Elephas maximus indicus: one gene and its partner. The protein of the gene in region 1 purifies or fractionates together with the protein of each later gene. This does not show direct contact. Links are inferred from orthologs where the notes say so. Each region holds a gene or a part of one and is shown on either strand. Other genes may lie near its edges. The genes, in order: RSU1 and ILK.

Region 1 (15,650 bases):
ATACCAACAGGGTCACCCATGGTGGACAGACTTCAGCAGAATTTCCAGATTAAGACTAGAAATGAAGGCCTGATGATCTACTTCTGAAAATTAGCCCATGAAAACCCTATGGATCGCAACAGAATATTGTCTGATATAGTGCTGAAGATGAGACTCCTCGGTTGGAAGATACTCAAAATTCACAAAGTGGCTGCAACAATGGACTCAAGCATATCAATGATCATGTAGATGGCACAGGAATGGGCAATGTTTTTGTTTATTGTACATGGGATTACCATGAGTTGGAGCCCACTTGATGGCAATTAACAATAACAGGTGAGGTTTATTTTACTGTGAGCTTCATAAATGAAATACTATGAAAGAGTATATAGAAGAAAGCAGCATGAGGGGACAGAAAGGAAGCAACTGCTCTTGCAGCAGTGGGTGATCAAAAAAACCCACTGCCGTCGAGTCAATTCCGTGATAGTGGGGCCAAATGCAGAGGCTCAATACTGACCCCTACTGGTCAGGCTCTTGATCTACATAAACCATTCCTCAGTCACATTTTTATAAGCTTTTACCTAAAAAAAAAATAAAAATTAAAACAATTGAGCAAACTTGATATTTAAAGAAACAATGAGATTTTATGTGACAGAAAGAAATAATCACTAGTTTTTGCTTTGTAACAGTGGCCGTTCACATACCTAGATTGGGCTTTCTTAAAACCAGGTTCATGGACATTTACGACAACAGGATACAGGGCATGATTTTCAGTTATCTGTGCAATTTCTACTACTGATTATCACAATTAAGAGCTAGCTATAACGGCTTTCAAGGAGTCCTGGTGATGCAGTAAAGGGTCAAAGGGTCAGTGGTTTGAAGCCACTAGCCGCAACGAAGGAGAAAGATGTGGCAGTCTGCTTCCATAAAGATTTACAGCCTTGGAAACCCTATGGAGTAGTTCTACTCTGTCCTGTAGGGTCACTCTGAGTTAGAACTGACACGATGACTGTGGGTTTGGTTTGTTTTATAACAGCTTTCAAAGCAGCAGGTCTTATGGGTTCTTATGGTGAATATGTAATTTCAGATGCAATAAATACCTCACAGTTTTCCTAAGACAGCAAATAGTTATCACTGTATGATCTGAAGGTTCAATATGGAGAAAACTTCTACAGAGACTCTGCTTAAATAGTGTCCTATCATTTTAAAAAATGCATTCAATAAATAGGTACTGAGTGATGTATAATGAATCTAATTATTAGATGGAAAATTACCAAGTTTTTAATGCATATTGTCACAATCACAACACAAATAAAAGCAGCGCCCTGCTCACCCTCCCCCACTGTCCATAGTCTGAACTCTCTGGAGTGTGAGGCCACTGTCCCTCCTGACCCTGGCACACTGGGCAGACCCTCCCACCTTCTCCCAGGAATTCTGAATCAGGTAAGGAATGAGGCAGTGGATAAGCTGACATGATGAAAGAGGGAGACCAGAAGGTAAAGGCCACTGGGGAAGTACCATCACTGAGAGTTCCAAGTAATAAAGACTTGTGGTGCAGTGGTTAAGAGCCCGGCTGCTAACCAAAAGGTCGGCAGTTCAAATCTACCAGCCATTACGAGTTGGAATCGACTAGATAGCAATGGGGTTTTTTGTTTTTTTGCTTGCATTTTTTAAACAATTAAAAAAAAAAAAAAAACCCATTGCCGTTGAATCAATTTTGACTCATAGTGACCCTATAAGACAGAGTAGAACTGCCCCCATAGAGTTTCCAAGGAGCACCTGGTAGATGTGAACTGCTGACCTTTTGATTAGCAGCCGTAGCTCTTAATCACTAGGACGCCTCGGAAGACTAATATGTTCCAGGTGGCATACTAGGCACTTTAGAGAAACTGACTCACAACGACTCTATGAGGTAGGCACTCTTATCTCCCCATTACTGATGAGGAAACTGAGGCACAGAGAGGTTTAAGTCACACAGCTAATAACCAAAAAAAAAAAGCTGTTTACAAAAAAGATGCCACAACTCACCGGAGCCAAAATGTCAAATGATTAAAAATAGTAAAATATCATTACTGGTTCTGCTACACTCAAGGGGTCATATTTTGTTTTTATTTCCTATCTTGATGTAATTTATGTCCTAAAGTAAAAAACAGAATGTCTGACAGTTCTATCGTGTTTCCAATGGTTATAAACTATCTCCCTCTGAAAAGCTGGGGAGAGGGATGTGGAAGGGAGGCAGAGTACATGTTCCTTCTCTGCGCTATCCTTTCTACTCTTTATCTATTTCTAACCTAAAATTCTTTGTTGTTATTGTTTGTCACTGTGGAGTAGATTCCAACTCATGGTGACTTTGTATGCAAAGCAGAACTGCTCTATGGAGTTTTCAAGGCTGTGACTTTTGAAAGCAAATCGCCAGGCCTATTCCCCGAGGCAGTGCTGGGTAGGTGTGAACCACCAACATCTCTGTTAGTAGTCCAGTGCTTAACTATTTGTGCATCACCTAGGAAATATGAAATTTTTAACCAAATGCAGTAACATTCCTTCCTTCAATATACTTTTCCTGAGCATTCTTCCAGGGTCAGGGCTAATAGAGGAAGGCAGAGTGAACAGAGAAGGGCCACTTCAGCCAGTGTGGATGGGACAATAGGGTAAAACTTAGTATATAGTGAGAGCTTCCCAGAGGAGCTGACACAAGAATGGAGTCACATGGATTGCTAAGTCATTTATTCCTTCAACAAGCATTAAGTTGACAAGTGGAAGTTAGCTGGAGAGACAAGCAGAAAAAGAATTTCCCAGAACAAGACACTACCTGTTTAAAAGCACAAAGTTGGAGATATTCACAGAATTTATCGGGGTTGAGGGAAAAAAAAAAGGTTTTTAATAAAAGTTATCACTAAAATCATATGATCTTCTCAGCCCTTTTCCCTTTCCCCCAAAGACAGCCTATACTGATAAAATATGTTCCTAACAGGGCTCCTGAAATAGCCCTTGCAGATAAGTCAGTGATTATGTTGTTGATTACTGTGTATGGTCCTTTGGAAAGACCACTCCTGTGGTAGGAGGCCATTCTTCTTTCTAAAGAGTTCTCTGAAAGACATTTTAGTCTAACCTGGAAAAAACCTGATAAAGGCTTGGCCACCCAGAGGGCAATAAACTCAAAGAGATTAAAAAGTCACAAAAGACTTAAATAAAAGAAATGAAAGCAACTCCGCCTGGCTACCAAGGGATTCCTTGCCCCAGTGAAGGCTGATTACGGGCCCTTCAAAGGCAGCTTTATCATCCAGATGAAGACAGTTGCTGCTTGCTGGAGAGTTTCTGCAGTGACTTCTTTAATAAAAAGAACACAATTGGTACCATTACTCTTGGAAGCTCTAAGGAAAGTGTGTGTGCAGATTATAATGGCATTTAGAAAAAAAGACAGAAAAGGAATAAAATTAGGCTGGATTTCAAAGAAACAGCAATCTAAATCTATAAGTATCCTAAGCAAAAGTGCTAAACCCTCCAGGTTCTAATAGGCTACCTAGGACCCATCAATATATGACACAAATACCCGACCTAGTCTAATGGACCAAACTAAACTCTTGGTTCAGGCCACAGAAATATGCTGGAACTGATTACATCTGCCACTTGCTGGCCTCCACCTGGATATTAATTGTTAACATTTCATGTGCACTCACTTGATACCAGACATAGCACTAAGCACTTGATGTTTACTGCAGTAACACTGAACCAGTCCTAGGAAGTCAGTACTAATGTTCCCATTTGCTGATGAAGAATTCAAGGCTCTCAAAGGTTAAGTAGTTTCTGCAAGGTTACCTACTTGTAAATAGCAGATAGAGGGTTTGAACCTAGTTTACCCAATGCCAATACTGTATACTTCTGCCTCTCACGGTAGAATCTGACTATATCTAGAATCTGACTGGACTGGTTAAAAACTGTACAACTGTAAAAGCTGTAAAAATGAAAAACAAACGTAGAACCTGTCTGATGTCTGCCTTGAGCCTAAGACATTTCCCCATCAGAAAGCTTTTGGTACCAAAACTACTGAAAACATTTTTAGAAGGCAATTTATGGTCTCGGAGGAAGTAAAACGCTGACATTTACAACCCGAAACTCTGTCAACAGAAAGATGGATATTCTGCATGCTTAGAACAAGTTCAAAGCCTTCATGCTTACCTTCGAAACGTAATTCTTGCTTATTTTTAGAGAATGTAAACAAAGGAAGGATGATGAGGGGAAGCTTAAGACACAAGAAATAACCATTCTCTGTACACTTTAATTGTTCCCTGTGTTCAATCTTCATAACAATGTATCAAACGTCATGGCTACCATTAAAATTTTACAGTTGAAGAAGTACGGGTCTTCCTATACTACAGGTAACGGGAGCATGTCAAATATTTTAATACATTTATACTTCATGAAGGAGTCCTGGCAGAGCAGTGTTAAGTGCTCAGCTGCTAACCAAAAGGTTGGCAGTTCGAACACACCAGCCACTCCACAGGAGAAAGATGTGGCAGTCTACTTCTGTAAAGGTTTACAGCCTTAGAAACCCTGTGGGGCAGTTCTACTGTGTCCTATAGGGTTGTTATGAGTCAAGATCAACTCGATGGCAATGGGCTTTTTTAAGCATTATACTTCATCACTTTGCCAATATACATCAGCCCCAATAGCCAGGTGTTGCAGGGGCAGATTCATGCTGTAAGTAGTGACTTTCTTTTACATCTACAGACTAACCATTACGTGCACTATTTAAATGAGCCTCAGTGGAGGAATGAGCTTCTGAAGAGTGTTCTGGAACCCCTGGGTTCTCAGGTGACCCAAGGTCAGCAAGTCGGGGGGAGAGGTACCACTCCTTATGACTACACTATGGAGGCAGGAAGAAGTGGAATCTCCAAGTTCACTTCTACTGAACCTCTCAGAAAGAGACCTGGTGGAGCAATGGTTAAGCACCCAGCTGCTAACAAAGGTTGAAGTCCAAACCCACCCAATGGATCCGTAAGAGAAAGACCCTGAGATCTGCTCCTGTAAAGATTACAGCCTAGAAAAACCTATGGGGCAGTTCTACTCTGTCACACAAGATTGCTATAAGTTGAAAAAGACTCTATGGTACCTAACAATGACAACAACAAACCTTCCAAAAAGCACTTGTGGCTCTTCCTTAGCTACTTAAGGATGATTTTGCTTTTCATCGTCCAATGTTACACTGGAAACTTTTTTTTTTTTTTTTCCAGGAAGCAAGTGGCTATCTTACTGTCTTTAATAAAACTCAAGGCTTCAAAGAGATAATAAAGCTGAACCAAAACAGTTATGCCACTTGCCCTACTTACAAATATTACATAAAGTCTCTTTTCAACAGCTGAGGGGAATAAAGCTCCTTTGCTAAAAGCAACTTCTTCCTCCAACCTTACGGGAAAAAGGGTGCTAAAGGGCCGAACACCTTGGAACCAGGAGTACAGCTGTGCTGGGCCTCCTTTCAGCTCATCCTCTTCTTCCTCTATAGCAACAGTGCCCCCAGTAATAATCAGGATGGCAGTAGATCTGGGCAGGGGCTACATGGAAGCACATCTAGATCCTCTACAGCCAGTTCAGTACCAGAGACATCTGTTCTGTTGCTGACACCAAGAGTCTATCACCACTGAGAGGCCAGCATATATCAAAAGTCTGAGATGCTACCTAGTATAAAACCTAAGTTTCACAGCAGGTATCTTCATCACAGTTACCAAATGCAAGTTGTCTACAACTTTTCTTCTCCTTTCCTTTTGTCAGTAAGTATCAATAGCTCCAAGTGCTCAGTGATCTGCTCCCATGAAGATTACAGCCTAGAAAACCCTACGGGGCAGTTCTACTCTGTCACATGGGGTTGCTTTGAATTGGATCCAACTTGACAACACCGAAGAACAACAAGAACAATCAATAGCTCCAACCCCAATCTCCACCCTAGACACAAGCCACGGAGTCAGAAAACCTGACTTTGCTGTCTGCATGTGCAATAAGCAAGCCACCGTCTAAAAGGTCTCTTGGATACCTCCCCTTCTCTGTTGTCACACCCTGGTCTGGCTCATAAACTTGCCAGCCTGATCCATCAATCTTTGCTTCATCCATCAAACATTTGTGAGCACCTACTGTTTTCCAGGCATTACTATAAAGAACATAAATGCGAATATTCCACAGTTTGCGCATATATACATACATATATGTGTGTATATATACATATATATACATGCACAAGCAATGCATGTCCAACTTCACAGAGGAAGGAATGACTATCTTGGCTTGATACAGACAGAGAAGGCTTCCCATACATTGTGATGTCTGAGCTTACTCTTGACAGACAAGTAAAAAGATTTTTGGCGAAGAAGAGTACAGAGAGGGATAATACTTGTAAAGGCGCCAAGATCTCAAAGAATGTGCTCTGGCTCTGGAAGAGAAATACGTTCAAAAAAGAATGTAAAATGCATGGAAAGGATAAGGATTTAAGGTGGGCTGCAGTCAGATTCAGAAAGGTCTTGTATTTCATGCCAAGGAACTTGGAACATTACTGTCAGTGATGGACGACAACCAGAAGATGTGTTCAGAGGAGAAGGTACAAACTGGGGTCACAAAGCCTCAATACGTTTTATTTCACCTACAAAGTGTTTTTCAAGTACTGGAATTAGTTGCCAACATTTAAAAACTAGGAAATTTCATATAAAAATCTGGATTCTTGACTTCTTAAGAAAAACAAAAAAGATCTGGCAACACTGGCCAATGTCCTCACGTGGAGACAACTGTTTGGAACTAAGTAGCAGGCACAGCAGCTGCGCCCTTCAGATGGGATACTATTATGGAGTTCAGGACCATCCTCACCTGGCCCCTGGAGGCATATGAATTTGCAATCACTGGTTTAAAGGTAGGGAGTAACATACAATAGGACAATAACACTGGAAGCAACAGTCTCTAAACTACAAGGGGATTTAGACATCACAATAACACGAGCAGATGGCAAAAGTCTGAACTACGTCATTAGGAGAACAAAGATCCAGAAAAAGATAATGAGTCAAGAAATTTTAAAATACTCCAGGTACAAGAATGCTTATTAATCATATAACTTTTGTCAGACATTTGTTCAAGGACTGAAAACTATATTAGAAAAAAAGAAAAATGGTTTAAAAAATGATTTGACTAAAAAATAAAGAGGCTATCAAGCGAATTGGACGGATAATACACCAAAATGCCACAAACCAGCATAGACAACTGACGAGGCACAGCAGTCAACAGTACGATTCTCACCCTGGATTCTCAGCTTTATTTTCCAGTTGGAACAGAACAAATTTTGACTTCAAACTTTCTGAGCTGAGCGCCGGAGAAATGATATTTACCAGCAAGGGGTGGGATCTAAACCATTACAACCTCTCATTGGAGGACTAGCAGTTACTCGGAAAGTTTATAACCCCTTCCAGCTTCATCCAAAGGGAAGGTCCTGCCCGAGCACTTACACAAGCCGTTGACATCCAGCATGTTGGAGATCCCTCGGTCACTCATGTCCACTTCCGGCTGGTTCTTCTCCCGGCTCTCCTCCACCAACTTTTTCAAAGACTTAGACATGGTCTGTACCAAACGACAACAACAAAGCACGTGGGCGACGGCCAGGAGGGTGCGGGGACAGAAAGGAAAGACCCTCCGGCAGCCACCCCTCAGTCTTCCCCAGCCTGGAAAGTGGGCATCAGAGGGCAGACCCGGGTGCAGGGAGGGGGATGGGTCAGGTGGGGCACGGGAATGTGAAGGGTTCGGCACCATTCCGGTCCCGCAGCAGAGAAGCAAACCCAAGTGCAATACCACACTCACCGCGAACGGTAGCACCAAACAGGATGGGAAGGTTGGGACCACAGGCTTCCGCGATACACACTCGGGTGGCAAGAGATGCGCTCGCTCAGGGCAAAACTTGCAACCCGAACCAGGAACACGCCCTGTCCCTAGCGCTTGGCGCAAGCGCACACGGGGCAGCTCTTCGCTCCACGCCCCGCCAGCGCCCGACCCTTCCCAAATTAGGAGAACAGGTTCTGAGACGTGGCTCCAAGGCGGGGCTCCGCCCCTAATGGAATGTGTCCCCCGAGGCCGTCCAATCAAGTCCATTTTTCGGCTTTGGGACTCCGCCCCACCTGAGGTTAGCCCATCCCCTTGGAGTCACTCCGGTTTGGGATTCCGATTGGTCCGGAGTTGGCGCATGCGCACTAGTGTTGTCGCAGGCTCAGTGTGCTGGTAGAAGCCGAGAGTGCTCTGGGAAAAGAGAGAAAGTTTGAAATTGCTTGAGAGTTGTAGCTGCCGGAGAAGCTAGAAGTCAATTACCTCTCAGTGTCCTGCCTCTGTAAATGAAACCCTACTCGGCTGAAGTTGCTACCGAGTCTCTTCTTTGCAGTTGCACCTTTAATAGCCCTTGTCAGGACATCCAGCCTACAGCTATATGCAAAAAATTTTGAATATACCGTGGACTGCCAAAAGATGAACAAAACAGTTTTAGAAGAAATACAATCAGAATGTTCCTTAGAAGTGAAGATGGTGGAACTTCGACTTGTTTACTTTGGACAGGTCATCAAGAAAGACTAATTGCTAGAAAATGACATCATGTTTGGTAAATAGAGGGCCAGCAAAAAACAAGGGAAACCCTCCGTGTGGTGAATTGATGGTGGTCACAAGAATCAACTCAGAAACGTTCACTCATCAAAAAGATGGCACAGTTCTGGGCAACATTTCATTCTGTTATACATAAGGTCGACAGCAGACCAGAGGGCAGCTAACAACAACAAGGGCAAGAACTCCAAGCCAAGAATCCTCAGCGCCCAGCTTGCAACGGTGTTTTTTGAAATCTTGTGGCGATCTACACCTGGTTTTTGCACCTGACCCTTTTGGTCTTGAGCAATTGTTACCACCCGCAGATACAAGTAAAAGATACAAGTAAAACGCAACCATTAAAAAGTCATAGTTGCTTTTTTTGCACCTGTGAAACATGAAATTATGGCTCTCAGGGATCTCCCACTTCCCCTTAAAAAGGCAAGGAAATTTGGAATTCTGACCTCACTGCCGGCCTCTGCCTCCCTATTTTCAAACCCAGTCCCAATTACCCCGTAATATTCTATGCTTCTCCCCCCAAAACAGTCTCCTCAGAGACAATTTCATACTATGGAATAAAAGTTGATACCAGGCATTTCTCTGAACCAGATAGATGGATAGATATATGTGTTAACATATTGTACATTGTAACAAGTATCAAAGCCTTAAAAGATATGGGTAATAATGCTCTCAACCAGTGGGGTAGGAGAAGGAGCTGTACCTTTAAAATTGAAAGCAGAAATTTCTGGTTTAGAAAATATTCCCAATGAGAGGATCATGCTTGTTTAAATCTTCTTTAATCTGGAACAGTTTCTCAGTCTTATGTTTCATGAACTAGATGTTATTAAAATGTACAGGTCAACCGGAAACCCTGGTGGCACAGTGCTTAAGAGCTACAGCTGCTAATCAAAAGGTCTGCAGTGCGAATCCACCAGGTGCTCCTTGGAAACCCTATGAGGCAGTTCTACTCTTTCCTATAGGGTCGCTATGAGCCGGAATCGACTGGACGGCCCTGGGTTTGGTTTTTGGACAGGTCAACTATTTTGTTGAATGACCTTCAATATGAATTTGTCTGATGTTTCCTGGTGATTAGATTCAGATTATGACTTTTTGGAGAAATACCACCAAAGTAGTTTCTTTCCATTAAAACCCAAAAAAAAACCAGTGCCACCAAGTCGATTCCAACTCACAGAGACCCTACTTCCCACTACATCACGTCAAAAGGCAGGTGACACAAATTTCTCCCATTTCTGGTGGTGATAGCTTTGATCACTTGGTTAAGATGGTGTCTGCCAGATTTCTTCACTATGAAGGTAGTACTTTTTTCTTTATAAATAATAAATAGTGGCTGGGATGATACATGGGGTTTATGTAAATATTCGATTCCTCATCAAGCTTTTACTCAGGAGTTTTGGCGTTCAATCGTGATTTTCTAACTTCATAATTTCATCTATATTATTTTGTATCCTATAGATACCTCCATTTATTGAATCATCATCTTTTTTAAAAGCAGAAATTTGAATTTGCTTCACTTCAGTATTTCCCACATCTAGTTTTTATAGTTAGATAACCCAGTAAAATATTATTATTATTAACTTTAACCAATATACTTATGATTTCTGTTTCTTGTTCCATCAGCTTCTGATCGTGAACCGTGACTACGTAGGTTGAAGACGTTAGTACCCCGCCAACTCTATTTCCCCCCATATTTTACCAAATTGTCTCAGATAAAATTGTTAGTTTTTATATTTTTTATGATATTTTCTTTCTATTCTGTAAACATATGTAAGTTGTCCATGTCTTTTTTAAACATTAATTTCAAAAATAGAAAAATAATAAATTAAAGCACTTGCATTATTTTGGCTATTTTAATCCTATTTATTGAAGAGTCAGATAGTGTGCCAAAATTTTATGATGTGTTCTTTCTTCTCTTTAAGTCCAATAGTATGACCTCTGTGTCACTTGAAGGAGAACATACCCAACCCAGCCCAGTGCCGTCGAGTCGATTCCGACTCATAAATACCCAGGTCAAATAAATTACTTCTCTCTTTTTATAATGCACTAAAAGTATGCCATATTTTAGTTTGCTTTGTTTTGGATCGTGGTTTCCTTATACAGTTATTTTATTGTTATTTTTACTGGAGTTTCTAATTGCTTTTATTTCCTTTTTCTTCTTTTGGTTATCTTCACCTTATTACTAAGATGTTGCAGCTTCTTGTTTATTCTGTGCATTGAGTGAAATCCAGTAGATACTTCTTGAATTTAGGATCCCGCTTAATTACGTACTTACTGCTCTAACTTTGACTGCTTCTTTCTATGCCTCCAGCTGAGCAGTTTGTCTGTGGTTTTTGTTTTTCACTTGGTTCCCGGGTGGCAATAGCCATTTCTTCTGTACATTTTGCTGGATTATCACTCAAGTAACTTTTTCTAAAAGAGTGTTTAAGAGGCACAACGTTTGAGCCTTTGCAGGTTTGAAAATATGCTTATTATTTTGTTCACACCTTTGATCATTTGTCTCACATGTTATTATTCTGGGTTCAAAATCAGTTTCTCTTCAAACTTGAAGGCATAGCTCCAATGTCTTCTGTATCCAGTACTGACTCTGAAAGGTTGTCGGTCTGATTCTCAAGTCTTTGTAGGAAACTGTTGTTTTCCCTTGAGAAATATTTATGATCTTTTTATTATATACCTTATTCTGAAATTTCATGATTTCACTCTGGTTGGGAACCTGTTTATTTAAACTGCTTAGCACTCATGGAGTCCCTGAGTGGTACAAATGGTTAATACATTCACTGCTAATCAAAAGGTTAGAGGTTCGCATCCACCCAGAGGCACCTCAGGAAAAAGGCCTGGCAGTCTACTTCTGAAAAATCAGTCATTGATAGCCTTATGTAACACAGTTCTAGTCTGACACACAGGGGTTGCCACGAGCCAGAGTCAACTCAGGCAACTGTTTTTTTTTTGGGGGGGGCCTTCCTCCCCTTTTATTTGTTTATTTATTTTTAGGTCTTTTCCAGTTGAAGGCTCATTGCTCTCTTCCTCTTTGGGAAATTGTTTTCTATTATTCCTTTGAAATTTCTTTCTTGCCATTTTCTCTTTCTGGAGTTACTCAGATGGTAGGCATCTGGACAATTTTCTGTATCTATTTTTTTCCTCATATTTTTTCATTTCTTAATTTTTTGCTTAGCTTGTGAGAAATTTTCTTGACTATCTTCCAATCCTTCTATTAAATTTTTAAAAATAATTTAAAATAATTAACTATCAAGAAAAAGTACTTTCTAAGAGCGCTTTGTTGTTCCAAGATTGTTTCTCTTTAGTTGCACCCTGCTTTTGTTTTATGAGCACAACTCTCTTCTCAAGTATCTCTGAGGAAAATAGTTTTTAAAACCTCTCTTCTGTTAGCCAAATCAACCGTTTCCTCAAAGGCCCATTCTTATGTATATTTACCTGGTTCTTTCCCATTCATGCTGTGAGAGCCTTCCTATCTGAGGATTCTTAGTTGTCCTTTCATATCCAAACATGAAGATATGAGTTGATTATTCTAGATAGCACATGGGTTTTCATTCTTCCCTTGTTGTTTCTACTTATTTAGCCTAGGTCATTAATTTTCCCTAAGCTATTTGTTGAATTTCTAAGGAAGTGAGAACCAAGTTTTTGGCCTACAGGTAATCACAAGGCTGCTTTCACTGATGGAAGGATTGTGGTTGCCAATTCATGAAGTTCCATTACTTGTGATCTCCCTTCTCATTGCACGTTGCACCTGCCAACCTCGTAGTCAGGCAATATCTGGAAAAGCGATTTCCTGCTCTGGTCCATTTCTCTCTTGAAATTAATTGAGACTGTGGTTTTTTTCTTCCTGTTCCATTTGCCAACATTCACTTCCTGTCTTCCACAAATTTGTTTTCACTCCTTTATAATCCTCTTCTCCTTTTCCCTTTTACCGGTACAATTTTTTATGAAATATACCCCTAAGTTCTTCTCTAAATTATAATAAAACTACTTACCAAGTAATGCGAAAATACAAGTTATCAAATTTAATTTAAAAAAAAATTCCATAAACCATCTAACACTTTTTACATCATTTTTCTTCCAATAACTTTCTTATTAAATTGGTAGTCATGGATGACTTGTGGTCTGAATAAGTAGAAAATTTTCACCATTAACAATATATTTTTTCGATGCTGTGTAATTTCTAAGTTCTTACTAAACTGACAGTAATTGCATTTAAAAAAATTTCCAGATGAATTACTCACAGACTTATTAAATCCACTTCCCTTTTTGCTGCATATAAAAGTGTCATTTTCCCGGGATGTCCACCCCAGCCTTCTAAAAATCACCATATTTTCTGGATCACTAGACTGAAATATTTTGTAGAGCTTTATTTTTTTTTTATGTTTAACATTTGAAAAAATTATACAATAATATTGATTATGCTTTCTTTAACTGTCTATACACATGTCCGGGATATTCTAATACGCTTCCTAAGGAAATGTCTATATGCCTAGTCTAATTCATATTTTTCTGACTGAAAATGACTCTTGTAGATACCATCACTCCAGTACTGCAACCTGAGATCAAATCATCTTCTATTTTTTGACAGCTACATCATGTTATGCTTGCTTTCAGATAAAATTCCTATATAATTTGGTATGTTATTGTTAAACTTTCTCCATGTCTGTACCTTGTAACTTATTTTTGATAAAAGAGCAAGATCTTACATCTAGTCCTGTCAAACTTCACCTTGTTAGATTTAGTCCATTGTTCCAGCTTGTCAAGACCCCTTAGGTTTGATCGTGTTATTCATTGAATTCACTTTTCTTTCTAAGAGTGCCATCCATGAAATTGATACATCTATCCATAATACGTAGTTAAAAGTAGCAGGAGTTTTAAGGTGAGAATACTTAATTTATGTGGCTCTGTACTCTGAGCAGAAATAATTTCTCTGACATTTGAGTATTAGTAAGATGAAGTAGCACATTCCCTAGCTTCATTTATTCACCCGGTCTCATGTTCTTAATAAGACTTAACCTTGCATATTTAACATAAAGAAAATCTCTTTTGTGAAGCTTTTGACTTAATTAGAGGCAGTGGAAAACTTGATTAAAGAAGTTGGGTTTTCTTCTGGGAGAGGAAGCTAACAACTACCTCCCTTAGTTATGTGTCTAGCAACCTTGTTAGTTATTAGCCATCCAGTCAGTTCCTACTCATAGCGACCCTATGTACAACAGAAGGAAACACTGACTGGTCCTGTGCCATCCTCACAGTCATTGCTATGTTAAGCCCATTGTCACGGTCACTGTGTCAATCCATCTTATTGAGGGTCTTCTTCGTTTTCGCTGACCCTCTATTTTACCAAACATGATGTACTTCTCCAGGGGCTGGTCCCTCCTGATAACACGTCCAAAGTACATGAGATGAAATTTCACCATTCGAACTTCCAAGGAGCACTCAAGCTGTACTTCTTTCAAAGCAACTTTGTTCGTTCTTCTGGCAGTCCATGTTATATTCAATATTCTTCCCCAACACCTTAATTTAAAGGTATCAGTTTTTCTTTGGTCTTCCTTATTCATTGTCCAGCTTTTGCATGCATATGAAAATTTTTTTTTTTTTTTTTTTTTTTGCATATGAGATGACTCAAAATACCATGGCTTGGGTCAGGCTCACCCTAGTCCTCAAAGTGATGTCTTTGCTTTTCAGTACTTTAAAGAGGTCTTTTGCAGCAGATTTGCCCAAAGCAATATGTCATTTGATTTCTTGTCTGCTGCTTCTATGGGTATTGATTGTGGACCCAAGTAAAATGAAATCCTTGACAACTTCAATATTTTCTCTGTTTATCATGATGTTCCTTATTGGTCCATTTCTGGCAAACTAGGAGACAAATACAGAGTACCGAACTTTCTACTTCTTATTAAATAGCAGCCTGTATTAACTATATATAACTTCACATTTTGCGTTGTTAAATTAGGTATTGACAATGGTAGTGCTTATGGAAACATTATATACTTGAAGGTAAATACATATACACAGTTTTGTCATATTTGTATAAACAATTTCAACATACCCTATGACTTAGAACGTTCTTTCATTACTCACAGATGGTTTGACATATGCAATTCTTTATTCTATAGTCCTGTTTATTCTGTATACTTGATAATGAATATAATTCTCTATGATAACTGCTCTGTGCTCTATGTTTAACCTGGGTAGAAATATGCAGAGCCTGATACGGCCTGGAACATGATCCTGCTTAAAACATTATTTCTCTGGGAATTTGCTTTTTCAAACATGGTAGATTGTCAGAATTTCTCCTCAGCCTGGATGAAATACCATTTAAAACTTATTCTTGAGGGTTTTACGAAATTTGGAGCATGCTTAGGAATTTTCCCAGAAACGAATGATCTGGTTACGATGACTTGGGACTTTCACCTGAAGACTTTCCCAAAAGAGGCAAGGATTTTTGATCATTGATGGATGTGTAACATTTTCTAATCCTATTGGCAAACAATTTAGCAATGTAGGACACGTGTAAAAATACCTTTCACCTTTCCTGGAAATTTACCCTCAGGAAATAATTCAGAAAAAATTGTGGAAAATTTAGGAGAGCTGAGTGAAGGGTACCTAGGGTCTCTCTATACTACCTTTTTCAACTTCCTGTGATTTTATAATTATTTCAAAATACAAAGTTTAAAAAATTATGGAAAAATCTGCTCATCTGTTAGAGTAGTATAATGGATAAAAATATAAGTAGGGTGGGAGAAGTTGAAATAAAACATAGTGTAACAACTGATACATCATTTAAATGTACAATTAAATGTACAAAAATATGCAAAGTGCTCACAATGTAATAAATGCAATACGTGGAATATAAAATTTTGTGAATAATGTATGTGTCTTCTCAAAGAGAAGAATAAAATGAGAATAATGACATTATGAGGGATTAAGGGTTATATTTTTCTCTGAAAAATATTAATATGGGAACACATTGCTTTGGCCAAAACAAAACAAAAAAAATCTGAAAAGTATAAAGCATTAAGTACCAGTGGTAAGCACACCCATTTAGTAATTTATTTTAAGGACAAATTGTT
Region 2 (14,684 bases), on another chromosome or scaffold:
CAGTGCAACAACATACTCCTGTCTTCGCTTTCCTACCTGTTCTACAAAATGCCATGGTCCACCAGAACAGTTACTTTCTTGCTAGCTAATGGTCTGAAACTCCTTTACTCTTCTCTTTCATCCCAACTCTGGATGATCCCTTCCTCAGGTACACTTAGATTCCTGAGAAGGTAGAGAAAACCACACCAATGAGCTGATTAGTACTATAAATCACAAACAATACTGCTATGAATTTAAGCAGACCCTCAACATTGCTCAGCAATCCTCACTGCACTGCAATCTGACTTCTCCCTCAACTTAACCTTTCAGCAGCATCTGAAGGCTGATAACCTCCCCATTTTTCCAATGTAAAAATATCCTCCTCTATCTCTGGCCCCACCTTCTAATCTTCCTTCCCTTTTACAGGTTCATTTTCCATCCATTAAATGCTCCTCAGAGTTCTATTCTCAGCCAATATGTCTTCTCATTATCTTACCCTGGATATCTCATCTACTTCTATGACTTTAATTACCACCATTAGGTTGCCAAATCCCAAATCCCTACCACAGATCTCTCCTGGGATTTGTATGTCCTTCTTACCAAATGAGTATCTACAAAGGCATCTAAATTCCAACGCTTTTAATGGCACCACCAGCCCATCTAATTGCTTAAACCAGAAACCTGGAACTTAGTTCAGACTTCCTTTTCTCACCCACCTCCAACCTCCCACCAGTTCTGGCTCTTAACCTACTCCTGTCAGCCCACTTCTTCCACTGCCACTAGTCCACAGTGCCCTCATTTTGTGCCCTGGGTTCCTGCAACACCTCTGCTTCCATCAATCCCACTCAACTAGACCCTGTCATTCCTTACCGCCCCCCTTAGGTGAACAAGTGCATAAGCTCTGGGAACACAATAAATACAGCTTGAGAAGCTCACGGTCTAATGCACAAAGCAATCACAACCCGGTATTTAAATACTGAAGGTACACTCTTCACACAGTGCTTTGAGAGCTCATTTGAAGAAATTAATGCTTTGGAAATGAGTGTGTAGGAAACAATTAGGCTGTTTTGAAGGGTGAGCAAAACTTTACCATTCAGAAAATACAGGTGACCCTCATTATTCATGAAGTTCATATTTGTGAAATTGTTGTTGTGTGCTGCTGTCACGTTTGACTCATAGTGACTCTACAGGACTACAGGACACAGTACAACTGCTCCCAGAGGTTTTCCTAGGCTGAAATCTTTATAGGAGCAGATCACCAGGTATTTTCTCCTGCAGAGCGGCTAGTGGATTCAAACTGCCGACCTTTAGGTTAGCAGCTGAGTGCTTTACCATGTGCCACCAGGGTTCCTTAATTTGCCCACTTGCTAAAATTTATTTTTAATCCCTGAATCAGTACTCATGGTACTTTCAAGGTCATTCAGACATGCACAGAATGATAAAAAATTTGAGTTTCCCGACGCACAAGTTTTCAGCTGAGGTCGGACAAGGTGACACTCTGCCTTCTTATTTCAGTTCTCATAATGTAAACAATTACATCCTTTTGTGATCTATTTAGTGCCATGTTTTTTGCATTTTTGTGCTTTTTGTTGGTGGTTTCGCTCCTTAAAATGGCCCCTAAGTGCAGTGAAGTGCTGGCTCGTGTTCCTAAGCACAAGAAGGCTATGATGTGCCTTACGGAGAAAATATGTGTTTTAGGTGAACTTTGTTCAGGCATGAGTTACAGTGCTGTTGGCCGTGAGTTCAATGTTAATGAATCAACAATACATATTTAAATTAGGTATCTTGCGGTTTTTTCAACAGAAACACATATAAAACCAGGTTATGTTTCATGTAACAAAAATGTTGTGACTAGAGGCTTGCAGGAACCTAACCCCTGTATCTCCCCTAGGAGCAATGGTTCAGTATTCAATAATTCGGTGTTCACAGTGACTTTACAGAACATAACTATTGTGAATAACGAGAACTGGCTGTATTTCAGCAAGTAGCACATGCAAAGGCACTGTGCACTGTCTGTCGCATGATTCCCAGCCTAGCCCCCAGGCATGCCTCTGGCCTACAGTCTGTCCCCAAAACTGTCCCTTTACTGGAGGCATATGCTGGCTCAGAGTCCTGAAAACTATGTCTTCCCAGTAGCCACTCTCAGTTCTTGTTTTTGGAGCCAGGTAAGAAGAGGCTGCATTTTTACCCAAGCCCATGGCAGATGTGTTCTGAGGGAAGCCTGGGATATATTATCCAATTATCTTACCCCTAAGCACTAGCCTTCCTTGCTGAAAGCTTTCCCAGGATGTGCTACCCTGGGAAGAAATGGACAGACCCTTTCGCCAATGAATAGCCTAATCCCCCCACCCCAAAATTGCATCACCCAGTAATTTATGAACAGAGACTCAGTTCCCTCATAATCCACTTCCAGGGACGGCTCAGAAACCATCGAGAATTTCTAAAGAGTTTATGAAATCAGCCTGTTGAAGAGCTGTCCCAGAACCTTCCTCAGCCAACAAATCCATTTTTTACCCCTCAATCTCCATTCCTGACTAGGGAAAGGTCTTCAGAGAACAAAGCTCACAAGACATGATATCCATAGTTACAGTTTATTGAGCACCTCCTATGTTCCCAGCCCAGGCTATAGATTTCCTCACCTAGCCCATACAACAACCCCATAAAACAGTAGTCCTCACCATTTTCCAAATGAGGAATCTGACATTCAGAGATTAAATGACTCCCAGCTCTAAGCGGCAGGCTTGGATTCAAACCCAGGTCTACCTGACTCTGTAATCTGTGCTCAGCCACACACACACGAGAGCCCCACAGGAAAATAGGTGCTGGGAGTGGTTTAATCTATATGGCTCCCAAGTTGGAGATGACAGAAGCAGAGAGAGATGAACCACTAGACATGTACAGTGCAGGGAACATCTAATCAATCTTGGCCCACCTCACAGCTGTGGAGACAGCTTGCCTCTACCTGGAAGCCAAGATTGATGTGTTCAGCCAGGATATTGGTGGGCTACCAGGTGCCCCAGAGACAAGAAGCAACACCTGTCACAGCCTTGAAGGCCTGGGCAGACCAAAGCTGAAAGAACAGCAGCTGTGAGTGAGCAGAGGCGCTGGTCTGCAGAGAGAAGATCTGAAGAGAGGAGTGGAGACAGCAAGAAAAAGTCCATGTGGCCCCTGAGATGGAAAAAGAAAACTAAACCCAGAGATGCCCTGAATTCCAAACCATGTAGTTTCCATGACGCCTAAAGGGATCCATGATTCCTGGACATCCCTGTAGTCTCGGGATAAACCCCTTAGTCTTTAGCTAGTCTGAGTGACTTCATGCTTCTTGCAACCGAGGAAGCCTCCATTAGATCAGGGGCCGAGCCAGGGCCTTCATCACATTTTGTTCTTTGGATGGGGCAGGGTGACATCAGGTCCTAGCTCACAGCCTGGCTGGCTACAGTTTTCAGGGCTCTGAGCCAGGAGTTTGAACCCTGCCTCCCCTTTCAAGGGAGGTCCAGCAGTCACCTGCGCTTGTAGAGACATGGCTGAAGCTTTAGGCCTGAGAGTTCAGCCTTTGGCCCCACCAGAGGGGGTCCAGTCTTCTGGAAGTCGAACAAGAAGAAGTGGCTGTTGGTCAGGTCCTAGGGGCAGAAAAGATCCAGTAAGTTCTAAATCCTCATCCTAGCTGCTCAAAATACCTCCTTCCATCTCCCACCCCTGTTCAGAAAGCTTCCCAGGGCTACCCCATGAGTTGTGCCTTCAGAGAGCAAATGTCTGTTCTTGTGCTTATGGCCTCCTTCCTGTACACCACTCCCCTGGAAAGGGCTGCACATAAAACAAAAATAGACTTTCTAGGGCACTTACCTTGGAGATGACCTTGAAGCCCAACTTGGTCACAGCCCCTAGAAAGGCCCGAACATCTTGAAAGCGGCTGCTGACCTCAGCCACTTTCAGAAGACCCCTGAGAGGGATGGAGAGTTCTGTGTAAATGCAGACACGCGCATGCACACACATATATGCATCTGTGTCCACAGGGTTCCTACCCTGGCTTCAGCACTCGATTTGCCTCCTCCAGGAAGTCCCTGATGTTAGTTCCCATCAGTGACAGGCAGAACACAGCCACGTCCACAGACTCATCCTCCAGGGGCACCTGTGGAGAGAGACTGCTGTATGAAGCATGCAGCTGGGCAAATGGGGGCAGGCACACAGTGTGGGGAGGAGGAGAAAGCCAGCACTGGGTGCTAGGGTTGGGCACCTGGGCGGGGGGTTAGGAGGAGGAGGGCTTTAAAGAGATGAGCACATGGACCTAGAGCACAGTCCAAATACACAGATGAGTTTACCTGGGCCATGTCACACACAGTGACCCTGGGGTCCAGAGAGGCCAAGTCAAAGCAATGCACAGGGTTCCGGATACTCGAAGCCAAGCGACAGTCCCCACAGCCGAAGTCAGCCACCACCAGAGACGCAGGCCTGGGAACGGAAGGGAAGGGTCGCTCACTGGCCTGGTCAGAGCCCATGATAACTGACCCATTATCACTTCTTACAGTGCCCACCCCCATTCACCTCTGGCGAAGATCCCTGATGATGCGGTCCACAGGCTGCAGGGGCCACTTATTGACTTGGCTCTGGAAGCCACGGTGGTAGATGAGAAAGGCCTCTGGGTCTTCCTGGAAGAGGCGCTGTGCAGCACTGCTGGGCCCTGAGTATAGCTGTTCGTTGAGGTAGCGAAATCGGGCGCCATCCAGCCTCTGTACCATGCGGGCTCGCAGAGCTCCCGCCCGAGCCTCGTAGCCGTCTGGCCTGGGAGGAGGAGGCACCTCTGCCTCCTCTGTGGGAGCCAGGGCCAGAGCCTGGGTTGGCGGTTGAGGTGGCCGAAACTTGTTCTTGTGTCTCCGCTTATTCTTCTGTCGGTTCCGCCACTGCTTACGGCTCAAGGTATGGGGTAACTGAGGGGAAGCAGACCCAGGGCTTGGCTTGTGTGGGTCATCTGCAGCACTACCCTTCTGGACTTTGGAACCTGCAGGTAGGGCAATGGGAAGGTGTATTTGAGGCAAGATCCTCTGCAAGCAGACACTTGGCAAGTCACATTGGCCATATGCCTGTCTTTTTTTTTTTAATGTGGTGAAAGTATACACAACAAAACACTCACCAATTCAACAGTTTCTTCATGTACAATCCAGCAACACTGATTACATTCTTCGTGTTGTACAACCATTGTCACTATCCTTTCCTGAATTATTGCACCACAATTAACATAAACTCAATATCCCCTGATATGCCTGCCCTTGAGACAGAGACTGTGGCCTGGATGAAAGTACTTCTTATTGGCTAACCCCAGTCCTAATGGTGACAGGTAGCCTCTGTCACACGTAGGATCAGCTGATCTTCCCTGCCCTCCCCTGCCCCCCATATATATATGTACATATCCAAGAGTACCTGTTTGGTCAACACTATCCAGGTGCTGGGCTCTGCTTGAAGGAGCCTGTTTCTGGCATTTCCTCTTTCTTTTCTCCTCTTCAACAGACTCACTGCCAAGAAGAGCCCGTTTGCAGCTTTTCTTCTTTCTTTCCACTTCCTCATCCTCAGAGTCACTCCCAGACCTGGCCTGTTTTTGATGTTTGTTCTTCCTTTTCTCCTTTACTTCAGCAGAGGCACTAGCAAACAAGGCCTTTTTGGGGCGTTTCTTCTTCCTTTCTATCTCCTCCTCTTCAGAGTCACTTTCAGGTAGGCTGGGGGGTTGCTGGGGAAGAGATGCAGCCTCCAGGGCCCGTAAGGTGGCCAAGAGCTTGCGGTGCTTGGAGCCCTTGGGGTAAGCAAGGTATGAGAGTGGGGTGAGGAGGATAGATGAGTTCTGGAGTGTAAGAAGGGAGAGGTGGGAGCCTGATTCAGGCACTGGCAGAGATATCTGGATTCTTCCCAGTCAGCTAAGTTGGGAAGCCTGCAAGACCCTGAAGAATGTTCATTTCCTAGTCCCAAACCTTGGGAGGTGGAGAGTGGAGAAACCACCCACTCCTCCTTCTTCAATGTGCAGATGAGGCAATGGAAATTCCCTAGATGAATGTGCTCAGGCCACAAGCAACAGGGCCCAAGGCCAGAGACCAGGAGTTCCAACTCTCAATTTCAGGCTTTTGTCCCCAGCTGATGATACCACTCTATAATAAGTAGGGAGCCACAGGTTTCTGAGCACAAGAGTGACAGGATCAGATGTGCGCATTAAAGATGCCTCTAACTGCAGTGTCAAGAGAAAACCTACAAAGAGACCAGTGAGAAGGTTGTTCCAAGTGTACAGGCAAGAGAACAGTGATCTGGATTGTGGCAATGAGCTGAGGAGATGAAAAGGGAATAAGCAGATGTCAGTCATGCAGATTTCATATTAGAAGCACACTGAAGCGTACAGGAAGTAAGAGGGTGAGAAAGTACAGCAGCCGGCACATATGTAGAGGCTCAAAGGTGGAGGCCTTAGTGGGGGAGGCTGATTCTGGGTTGAAGTCCTGCTGGGTGGTCCTAGACCAGGCACTTACCTTGGAGGTTCTTAGTTCCCACCCATACCCCCTTTAATCATAATACTCATAGCCCTATGTCACAAACTCTTGCTCTCTCCAACCCATTCTCCACACACTGTAACCAGTGATGTTTTCAAAATGCAAATCTGAACAAATCGCTCCCCTGTTACAAATACTTCATTGGCTTCTCTCTGCACTTAAAATATACAAAACTTCCACCTCTCCAACTTAAACATCATCCCCTCTCACTTACTCTCTGTGCTCCAACCACACGGATCATTTTGGTGGGCCCTAACAGGTCATAAGCTCTTGCCCCACGACCTCTGCACGTGCTCCCCCCTCTCCCCCCCCCCCGGTCTAAGGAACCCTTTTTGCTTAAATTTCTATTCATCACTTAGCTCAAATATCATTTTCTCTTAAATGTTTTCGGATCTTCAATCAGAACTCGCCTCAAACGGTGCCGCTGGGCCCACCTACCCACCCAATACACACTTGGTGTGCCCCTGGCGCTGGGATTTCCCTAATGCTTTGGCGCCCCAAAACAGGTCCCAGTGCCCCTGCGTGGCCACTCACCTTGATACGCACGGCTGCCGCGGGCCGGGGCCCTGCGGCGACGGGCCCGAAGGCCGTGGCTGCTAGGGCCTCCTCGGTCCACTCGGGCTCCTCGAACATGAGGGCCAGGAGGGCAGAGTCGCGGTGCCCGGCGTCCCTCCACGTGCGATAGCGTCTCCCGGAGTCAAAGTGCCTACACCAGCCGGGCAGAAGCTGGGAACCAAAGAGTGAAAGCCAGGGGCAGCTAGAGCGGCCGGCGCAGCGCCGAAAACCATCGAGTTTCCACACTAGCGAGCTAGAAGGGCAAGGGAGGGGCGGGAAGGGAGGGAGGGAGGGAGGCCCGCGCCGGCCCGCTAAGGCCAGGGGCGGGGCGGGGCCGGGTGGCGGGCGCGGCCGGACGGGAGTTCCCCGGAGAAGGCGCCTCGAGCCCGAGTCCCGGTGAGTGCGGGGCTACCCGCGCCCCTCCCCAACACTCAGGCCCACCAGCCCGTGACCCCTCACTCCGTCTGAATTCCCGGGAGGGAATGGGGTCCATACGCGGGGATCCCCTCCTACCGGGTGTACGGTGCCCGGACCTCCCCACTCCTGCCCCCGCCCCCAGCTCTGTTCGCGGGTGGTGTCTCCGTGCCTGCCCTCCGATATCCCTTCGGCAGACACCAGCGCCTATCTCCTTCCCCTCCCGGACTTGCCTTTCCCTCATGCCCAGTGGACACAGTCGGGGATCATCCCATTGCACTAAATTCCCATTCCTGACCCCCTACAAGCCGGGGACGCAGCGCCCAGACGCCCGCCCCCAACAGAAACACTTCTGTCTTGTAGAGGACAAAGGTTGGGGCTCACCCCTCTCCCCTGGGTCACGCTGTAGTCCCCAGGCTTACCCGATCTAGGGCACTCAGCGCCGGGACGCTGCTATGGACGACATTTTCACTCAGTGCCGTGAAGGCAACGCGGTTGCGGTGCGCCTGTGGCTGGACAACACGGAGAACGACCTCAACCAGGGGTGAGCTCAGGCGGCTGGTGGGGAGAGGATGGCCAGAGTCTTACCCTTCTCCCCGACGTGGGGTGCTCATGTCTGGCGGAGGTGGCCAACTTTTCCATCCAGTGTGATGAGTGTTAAGCACAGCTGTGGAGGGCAGAGGGTCTCCACGGAAGAAGCAGTGTTCGAACAACTGAATGAGTTTCACAGCCAGAGGCCGCAGAGAGCATTCCAGCCTCAGTGAACTACATGGGCGAAGGCAGGGAGGCAAGACACAAAGCTGAGAGTTACAAGAAATTTTCTGGAGTTCCATATGGCTGGAGGATAGAATACTGTTTCTGTGGGCTGCAGCGTTGGATACAAGAGGAGAATGATAGGAGATAAGTCTGGAGAGGACTGCAGGGGTTAGCCAGATCGTGTTAAGATATTTAGGGCATAATAAGGTCTTTAAGAGCAAACCCTTAAAGCTGTGTAGTAATATGATGAGATTGCCCATTTGTTAAGTATCATCTTGGATGCTTTATGAAGCACAGGCAAGAATGCGTATCAGGAAGCTATTCCAGAAGTGACAATGGGTTGGACTAGAATGGGGGCGCCTGACAGAAGTGATCTGATTCCAAAAATCTTTAGGGTGAGGAATTGGTGGTGCTTGCTGTGGGAAGTGAGGAAGGTCATAGGTGATAACCAGGGTTCTGGCTTGGACACTTAGTAGATGGTGGTTCCTTTTACTGAGATGGAGAAGACTGAAGGAAGATGATGAGTACCATTTTGCATGTGTTAAGGTGACAAAACAGTAGGTTATTGGTTATGCAGATTTTGTGTTCAGGAGAGATCAGAGTTGGAGGCACAGATTTGGTAGATATTAGCGTATAGATAATAACTGAAGATGTGTGTGAAGGAAAGAGCCTTGGAAGAGTGGAAGACAAGACGGCAGGGGATGAGACGCCTGCAAGGAGACGGAAAAGGAGCAACCAGAGATTGAAGGAGAAAAAGAAAAGTGTGTTAGTAAAGCTCAGAGAATGTTTCAATGAAAGCGGAGTGGTCAACAGTAGTGCAGTGTGACAATAATATAGGCAGCTTTAAAATAACTTTACCTGTTGAATTTGCAATTAGGATATATTTGATGATTTTGGTGAGAGCCATTTCAGAGAAAAAATAAAGTGGACTATATTGGGTTCATTCATTTAAGGAAACGTACTGAACATTTCCTGTGCTGGGCTCGGGAAACCCAGAGTCAGATCCCTTGATCCCTGCCCTCAAGGTGGCCAACCTGTGGCAGGTTAAAAAATGAATGGGAGGTGTGGAAATAAAGTGAATGTAAATGTAAACAAGTTCTTTAAAACTGGCTGAGATGGCAGTAGTGATGGCGATTCACAGTGGGGATTATAATTTATTTTTTAAAGTTGGGGGAGTGTAATGTTAAGATTTGAAAGGTAAGGATCACCAGTCATCTTAGTTTAAGCTTCACTGGTTCCCATTAGACTTTATACAATTTCTCCCTCATAATTTGCAGAGTACACTTGTTCCATTTTTCATATTTCTCAGAGGGTGCTTGATAAAAACAGTAAGCACCATTCCTACTTTCTTGAACAAACAGAGGCTTAGGCATCTAGGAGGACTCTTCTGCCAAAAGGTACAGTGGCATTAGGGAAACTAGAAGGCTTTGGTGCTGGTTTCAGGGGACAGGGTCTGGGGGCCCAAGCTGGATATATGCTGGGTATGAGGGGGTGGAGGGACAATTTCCTGCAGGCATCTCTGGGATAGGAAATCCAGAGCCTGAGGTGACGGGCAACTGGACATTGGGGAGAGCCTTTGTGCCCATACTTTTGCCCTCAGGCTGGTCTGCCCTGGGGCCACAGACTGCTGCAGGCTGATAAGTCAGGGCACAAATTAAGGAACTGAGAGGCAAGACTGATAAGCAGGAGGTTGCAATTGCTTCCGGTGGATACCCACCTCCCAGGAAAACTTTTGGCTAGCTGTGTTAGCAGATGAAGGCAAGCTGTAGGAGATCTGTAAATTAGAGGCGGCAGTCCCCACCCCCATCAGCTGCTTGTGTGTCAGGGTGGCTAGACCCCTGACAAGCTCCAGGCCCCGCCTAGAGCCCCCGATGGGAAGTGACTGAAACACTAAGGCATCTGGAGGCTGCTAGCCCAGACCTTGGCCCGCCCCCTGCCCCGCCCCTTGGGTTTGCAGCCTGGGACTGGAGGGAATTTCCTTTTATGGCCCCAGCCTGTCAGGCAGGCCCAGCTCCCACCCAATTGCTTTGTTTTTTGTATACTTCTTTTCCTTTGTAAAATACATGCCCTTAAGGGAAAAAAAAAAAAAAAAAAGTCAGGTATAGTTTTCCTTCCAAAGCAGCTGTTCTCATTTTCTTCTGTTTTTTATTATACCCAGGATTGCTGAGTAGGGGAATCCCTGTTTTATGTGCTGGTTTGTTATCTGCCTCATCAGTAATAACTTATCAAAACCATTTCTCCTTCTCATGGTAAACCCTTCCAAAATGTCATTTTAATTCCATTCCACTTTTAGGTTTTAATTTCAGTACCAGAACCAAAAAGTAAGTTTGGCTCCCTCTCCCATGAGTTGTGGTTTTCCTTCTCCAAAACACCCTGCCACCCTCTCCCCACACTGGCACGAGCTGACACCTGTGTCATTCAGCCCAAGAAGCTTACAGTCTAATGGACAAGACAGCCAAGTAACAAGATTCTTACAGTCCAGTATAACAAGTGCTATAGTAGGGGGATATACGAGATGCAGTAGAAAGCAGGACCAACAGACATTGCAAAAATGGTTTAGGGGAAACCAGATGAAGGGTGCTACCATCTAATGAGATAGGGCGTACGAGCGAAAAAACGATAGATGGTTGGGGGTGGCGTGAAAATAATGAATCATATTATGGACTTGAGTTTAAGCTGCCCCTATGTGCCCCTTGGTTGGGTCTGAAGCTCAGGGCAAGATCTCAACTGGACAGACTTGGGAGTTGTTGGCATGAATGAGAATTGAAGTCCCAGAGAGGTAAGGTTTCCCATGGAGAGTATGAAGAGTGACTATCAGTTTCTCCTGTATCGAAGCCTCTGCCCCATCCCGCCTCCAGATCACTGACCATTACCACTTCCTCAAAGGGATGACCATGGCTTCTCCCCTTTGCACTGGGCCTGCCGAGAGGGCCGCTCTGCTGTGGTTGAGATGCTGATCATGCGGGGGGCACGGATCAATGTGATGAATCGTGGCGATGACACCCCACTGCATCTGGCAGCCAGTCATGGACACCGTGATATTGTACAGAAGGTATGTATGAACCCCTCCATCACCCATGCTGCCTCCATACCTTGCAGTCAAACACAAGCACTATAACATAAATAGAAGTATGCGTGCTCTTCTTTCCCCCTCATACCCCAACACCCATCTCTCATTTGGGATTGACTGTGCCTTCTGCCTCTTCTGTCTGGCCATGGGGCGCAGCTGTTGCAGTACAAGGCTGACATCAATGCAGTGAATGAGCATGGGAATGTACCCCTGCACTATGCCTGCTTTTGGGGCCAAGACCAGGTAGCAGAGGTAAGGACTTGGGCCCCAAGCCCTGTGATGGGTGGGAAGCAAAGTCTGAGCCTGAGGGAGAGATCCTGGAATACTCAACCCATCCTGAGTGTTTGACACTTACAGGGTGTGTACTGTATCTGTGAGTTACTACATCTGTGAGGTAGCAGGGGCTCTCATCACAACCACCTTCTCATTCCAGGACCTGGTAGCTAATGGAGCCCTTGTCAGCATCTGTAACAAGTATGGAGAGATGCCTGTAGACAAAGCCAAGGCACCCCTGAGAGAGCTTCTCCGAGGTGCATCCCCTACCTTCCTCCCACTTGTATCTTCTTGTCTTGTCCCTCCCCACCTGTCTCCTCCCTCCATTACCACATCTCAGGCCAAGACTGTCTTTCTTCCCCAGAGCGGGCAGAGAAGATGGGTCAGAATCTCAACCGAATTCCATACAAGGACACATTCTGGAAGGGGACCACCCGCACTCGGCCCCGTGAGTCACTGTTGTAGAAGGAGGGGGTGGCAACAGGGAATAATCCTGGGCTCCTGGAGCAGGTTATCAGGAAGTTGGGGACCTGACCTTTCCACACTCTCAGGAAATGGGACCCTGAACAAACACTCTGGCATTGACTTCAAACAGCTCAACTTCCTGGCGAAGCTCAACGAGAATCACTCCGGAGAGGTGACCCCTCCCCTTTGTGTCCCTCCCTCCCCAAACCCTCACAGATTACCTGCTGTGCACCTGCTTTAAGCTTCTCCTTCTCCAGTTAGTGGGCAAGGAAAGCAGTGGCCCTCATTGAACCCTCCTGACTCCCACTTGTCCCTTAGCTATGGAAGGGCCGCTGGCAGGGCAATGACATTGTCGTGAAGATGCTGAAGGTTCGAGACTGGAGTACAAGGAAGAGCAGGGACTTCAATGAGGAGTGTCCCCGGCTCAGGTGGGGCAAGACCTGATAGAGAAGTTGCTGGTTCCAAGGAGCCCTTAATAGCACTGAGAGGGAGATCTTTTTGGCTGGGTCTCAGCCATGGACACTCTCTCCTCCCAGGATTTTCTCACATCCAAATGTGCTGCCGGTGCTAGGGGCTTGCCAATCTCCACCTGCTCCTCACCCTACCCTCATCACACACTGGATGCCATATGGATCCCTCTACAACGTACTACACGAAGGCACCAGTGAGTAGGGATGTGGGTGCCCTTGGTTGAGGTGGGGTAGGGTGGAGCACCAACTTCTCTAAACTGTTTAACTCCTGTCTCTTGTAGACTTCGTTGTGGACCAGAGCCAGGCTGTGAAGTTTGCATTGGACATGGCAAGGGGCATGGCCTTCCTACACACATTAGAGCCCCTCATCCCACGACATGCACTCAATAGCCGTAGTGTAATGGTAAGGTCACAAGTCCACTCCTGGCCCAGGCCCCCAGAGGCCCTTCACCTATCTAGACTAGGACTCACCTCCTTCCACATATCATCTCTTCCTCAGATTGATGAGGACATGACTGCCCGAATAAGCATGGCCGACGTCAAGTTCTCCTTCCAGTGCCCTGGGCGCATGTATGCACCTGCCTGGGTGGCCCCTGAAGGTGGGTGAGGGCCTCATATTGGGAGGTAGAGAAGAGTCACCTCAGTATTGGTGGAAGGGGGCAGAGACAGGACAGGCAGTTGGAACAGACAAGTCCTGTTCCTCCAGCTCTGCAGAAGAAGCCTGAAGACACAAACAGACGCTCAGCAGACATGTGGAGTTTTGCAGTGCTTCTGTGGGAACTGGTGACACGGGAGGTACCCTTTGCTGACCTCTCCAACATGGAGATTGGCATGAAGGTGGGAACACTCGTGCCGGGGGATGGTAGTGGTGGTGGCAGTACTTGCAGTGGGCGTGGGCTCTTCCCACACTTGTTCAATTATACAGTAATCCTGTGCCAAGGTCTATGAGGCCTCTCCCCACATGACAGACTCAAGTTCTGATGCTCACCTCGTTTTTCCTGTATTTACAGGTGGCACTGGAAGGCCTTCGGCCTACCATCCCACCAGGCATTTCCCCCCATGTATGTAAGCTTATGAAGATATGCATGAATGAAGACCCTGCTAAAAGGCCCAAGTTTGACATGATTGTGCCTATCCTGGAGAAGATGCAGGACAAATAGGGCTGAAAAGTCCCTGCCTAAACTCCAGAGGTATCAGGACACAGTTGGGGGAGTGCACCTCCCCTCCCCCGCAAAGCAGCAGGACTCTGGTTGTCTCCCCTGCCTCCAGTCATGGTACTACCCCAGCCATGGGGCCCATCCCTCGTCCCCATCCCTACCACTGTGGCCCCAAAAGGGGCTGGACTCAAAGCTTTGCCACTTGTCACATGGTGTCTCCCAGCATGGGAGGGATCAGCCCTGCCTGTCACAATAAAGTTTATTACGAAAACAGGCTGGTGTGGGGACATGGGGACAAGTAAGTACATTTAAGTTGGGTGGCTCAGGTGAAGTAGTGCGGCTTCTTCACATTGATGCCATACTCGCTGAGGGCAGGGGTCAAATCCTCCATGGTTAGAGTATACTTGCGGTCCTGAGGGAAAAGGGAAGAGCACTAGCTGAGCACAGCCTCCCAGATTTCAATCCCACATGGGTGACCCTGAGTAGATCTTAAACCTCCCCTAGGACTCAGTTTCCCCAGAGCGGTTTCAGAGTAAGTTAAGTCTCCACTGCTGTGGGGTTAATTACTAATTCAGTGAACTTTCCCTCACACCTTGCTCTTGCTTCGGGAGCTGCCAGATGCTGTGCCCTTCATTTTGCAGTGCTGTAGGGCATCGTTGGCAATATCTGAGATGAATTTCTGGGCAGCTAGTGAGATGAGCCGAATTCTAGAGAGAAAAAACTGGTATGAGAAAAAGATGGACAACCTACGCACAAGCACCCAAAACTCTAACTTTCCCGAGTTTACTCACATGCGTGGGTCCGAGGCCTCAAAGCCAGCACGGTTTAGGTAGTAACCAGTCACTGCATCTGGGATCTGATAAATCAATTAGACAACTGTCAGTCTGAGCCCTGAGCCCTGCCGGGCTGAGCTGGAGAAGGATAGAGGAAATGGAGGACAGGCCTGGCTATCAGGAAGCTCACAGTTTGGGTGTGCAAAGGGAATAAATCACCAGGAGGGGAGCAAATAGGACAATGAAAAGCC

What was found.
Region 2: the proteins of RSU1 (region 1) and ILK purify together in Homo sapiens (affinity purification with mass spectrometry; 9 studies listed by BioGRID and IntAct, counting the BioPlex papers as one, with this or other methods). This does not show direct contact. The link is inferred for Elephas maximus indicus from reciprocal best matches to the Homo sapiens genes RSU1 and ILK.

Annotation. Positions count from the first base shown.
Region 1 is NC_064822.1:40,080,642-40,096,291, reverse strand, and holds the start of RSU1 (ras suppressor protein 1), read right to left. Parts: upstream 7,981-15,650; 5' UTR 7,804-7,980; intron 7,567-7,803; 5' UTR 7,564-7,566; coding exon 7,455-7,563; intron 1-7,454. UniProt on the Homo sapiens protein: Potentially plays a role in the Ras signal transduction pathway. Capable of suppressing v-Ras transformation in vitro.
Region 2 is NC_064825.1:60,258,509-60,273,192, forward strand, and holds ILK (integrin-linked protein kinase), read left to right. Parts: upstream 1-7,359; 5' UTR 7,360-7,451; intron 7,452-7,832; 5' UTR 7,833-7,924; coding exon 7,925-8,013; intron 8,014-11,111; coding exon 11,112-11,277; intron 11,278-11,451; coding exon 11,452-11,547; intron 11,548-11,728; coding exon 11,729-11,825; intron 11,826-11,932; coding exon 11,933-12,016; intron 12,017-12,119; coding exon 12,120-12,205; intron 12,206-12,351; coding exon 12,352-12,461; intron 12,462-12,569; coding exon 12,570-12,697; intron 12,698-12,784; coding exon 12,785-12,906; intron 12,907-13,002; coding exon 13,003-13,102; intron 13,103-13,209; coding exon 13,210-13,340; intron 13,341-13,513; coding exon 13,514-13,663; 3' UTR 13,664-13,669; downstream 13,670-14,684. Other genes in the region: RRP8 (ribosomal RNA-processing protein 8), read right to left, coding at 3,480-3,599, 3,823-3,919, 4,002-4,108, 4,299-4,428, 4,522-4,975, 5,395-5,761, 7,035-7,133; TAF10 (transcription initiation factor TFIID subunit 10), read right to left, coding at 13,983-14,072, 14,253-14,367, 14,452-14,516. UniProt on the Homo sapiens protein: Scaffold protein which mediates protein-protein interactions during a range of cellular events including focal adhesion assembly, cell adhesion and cell migration.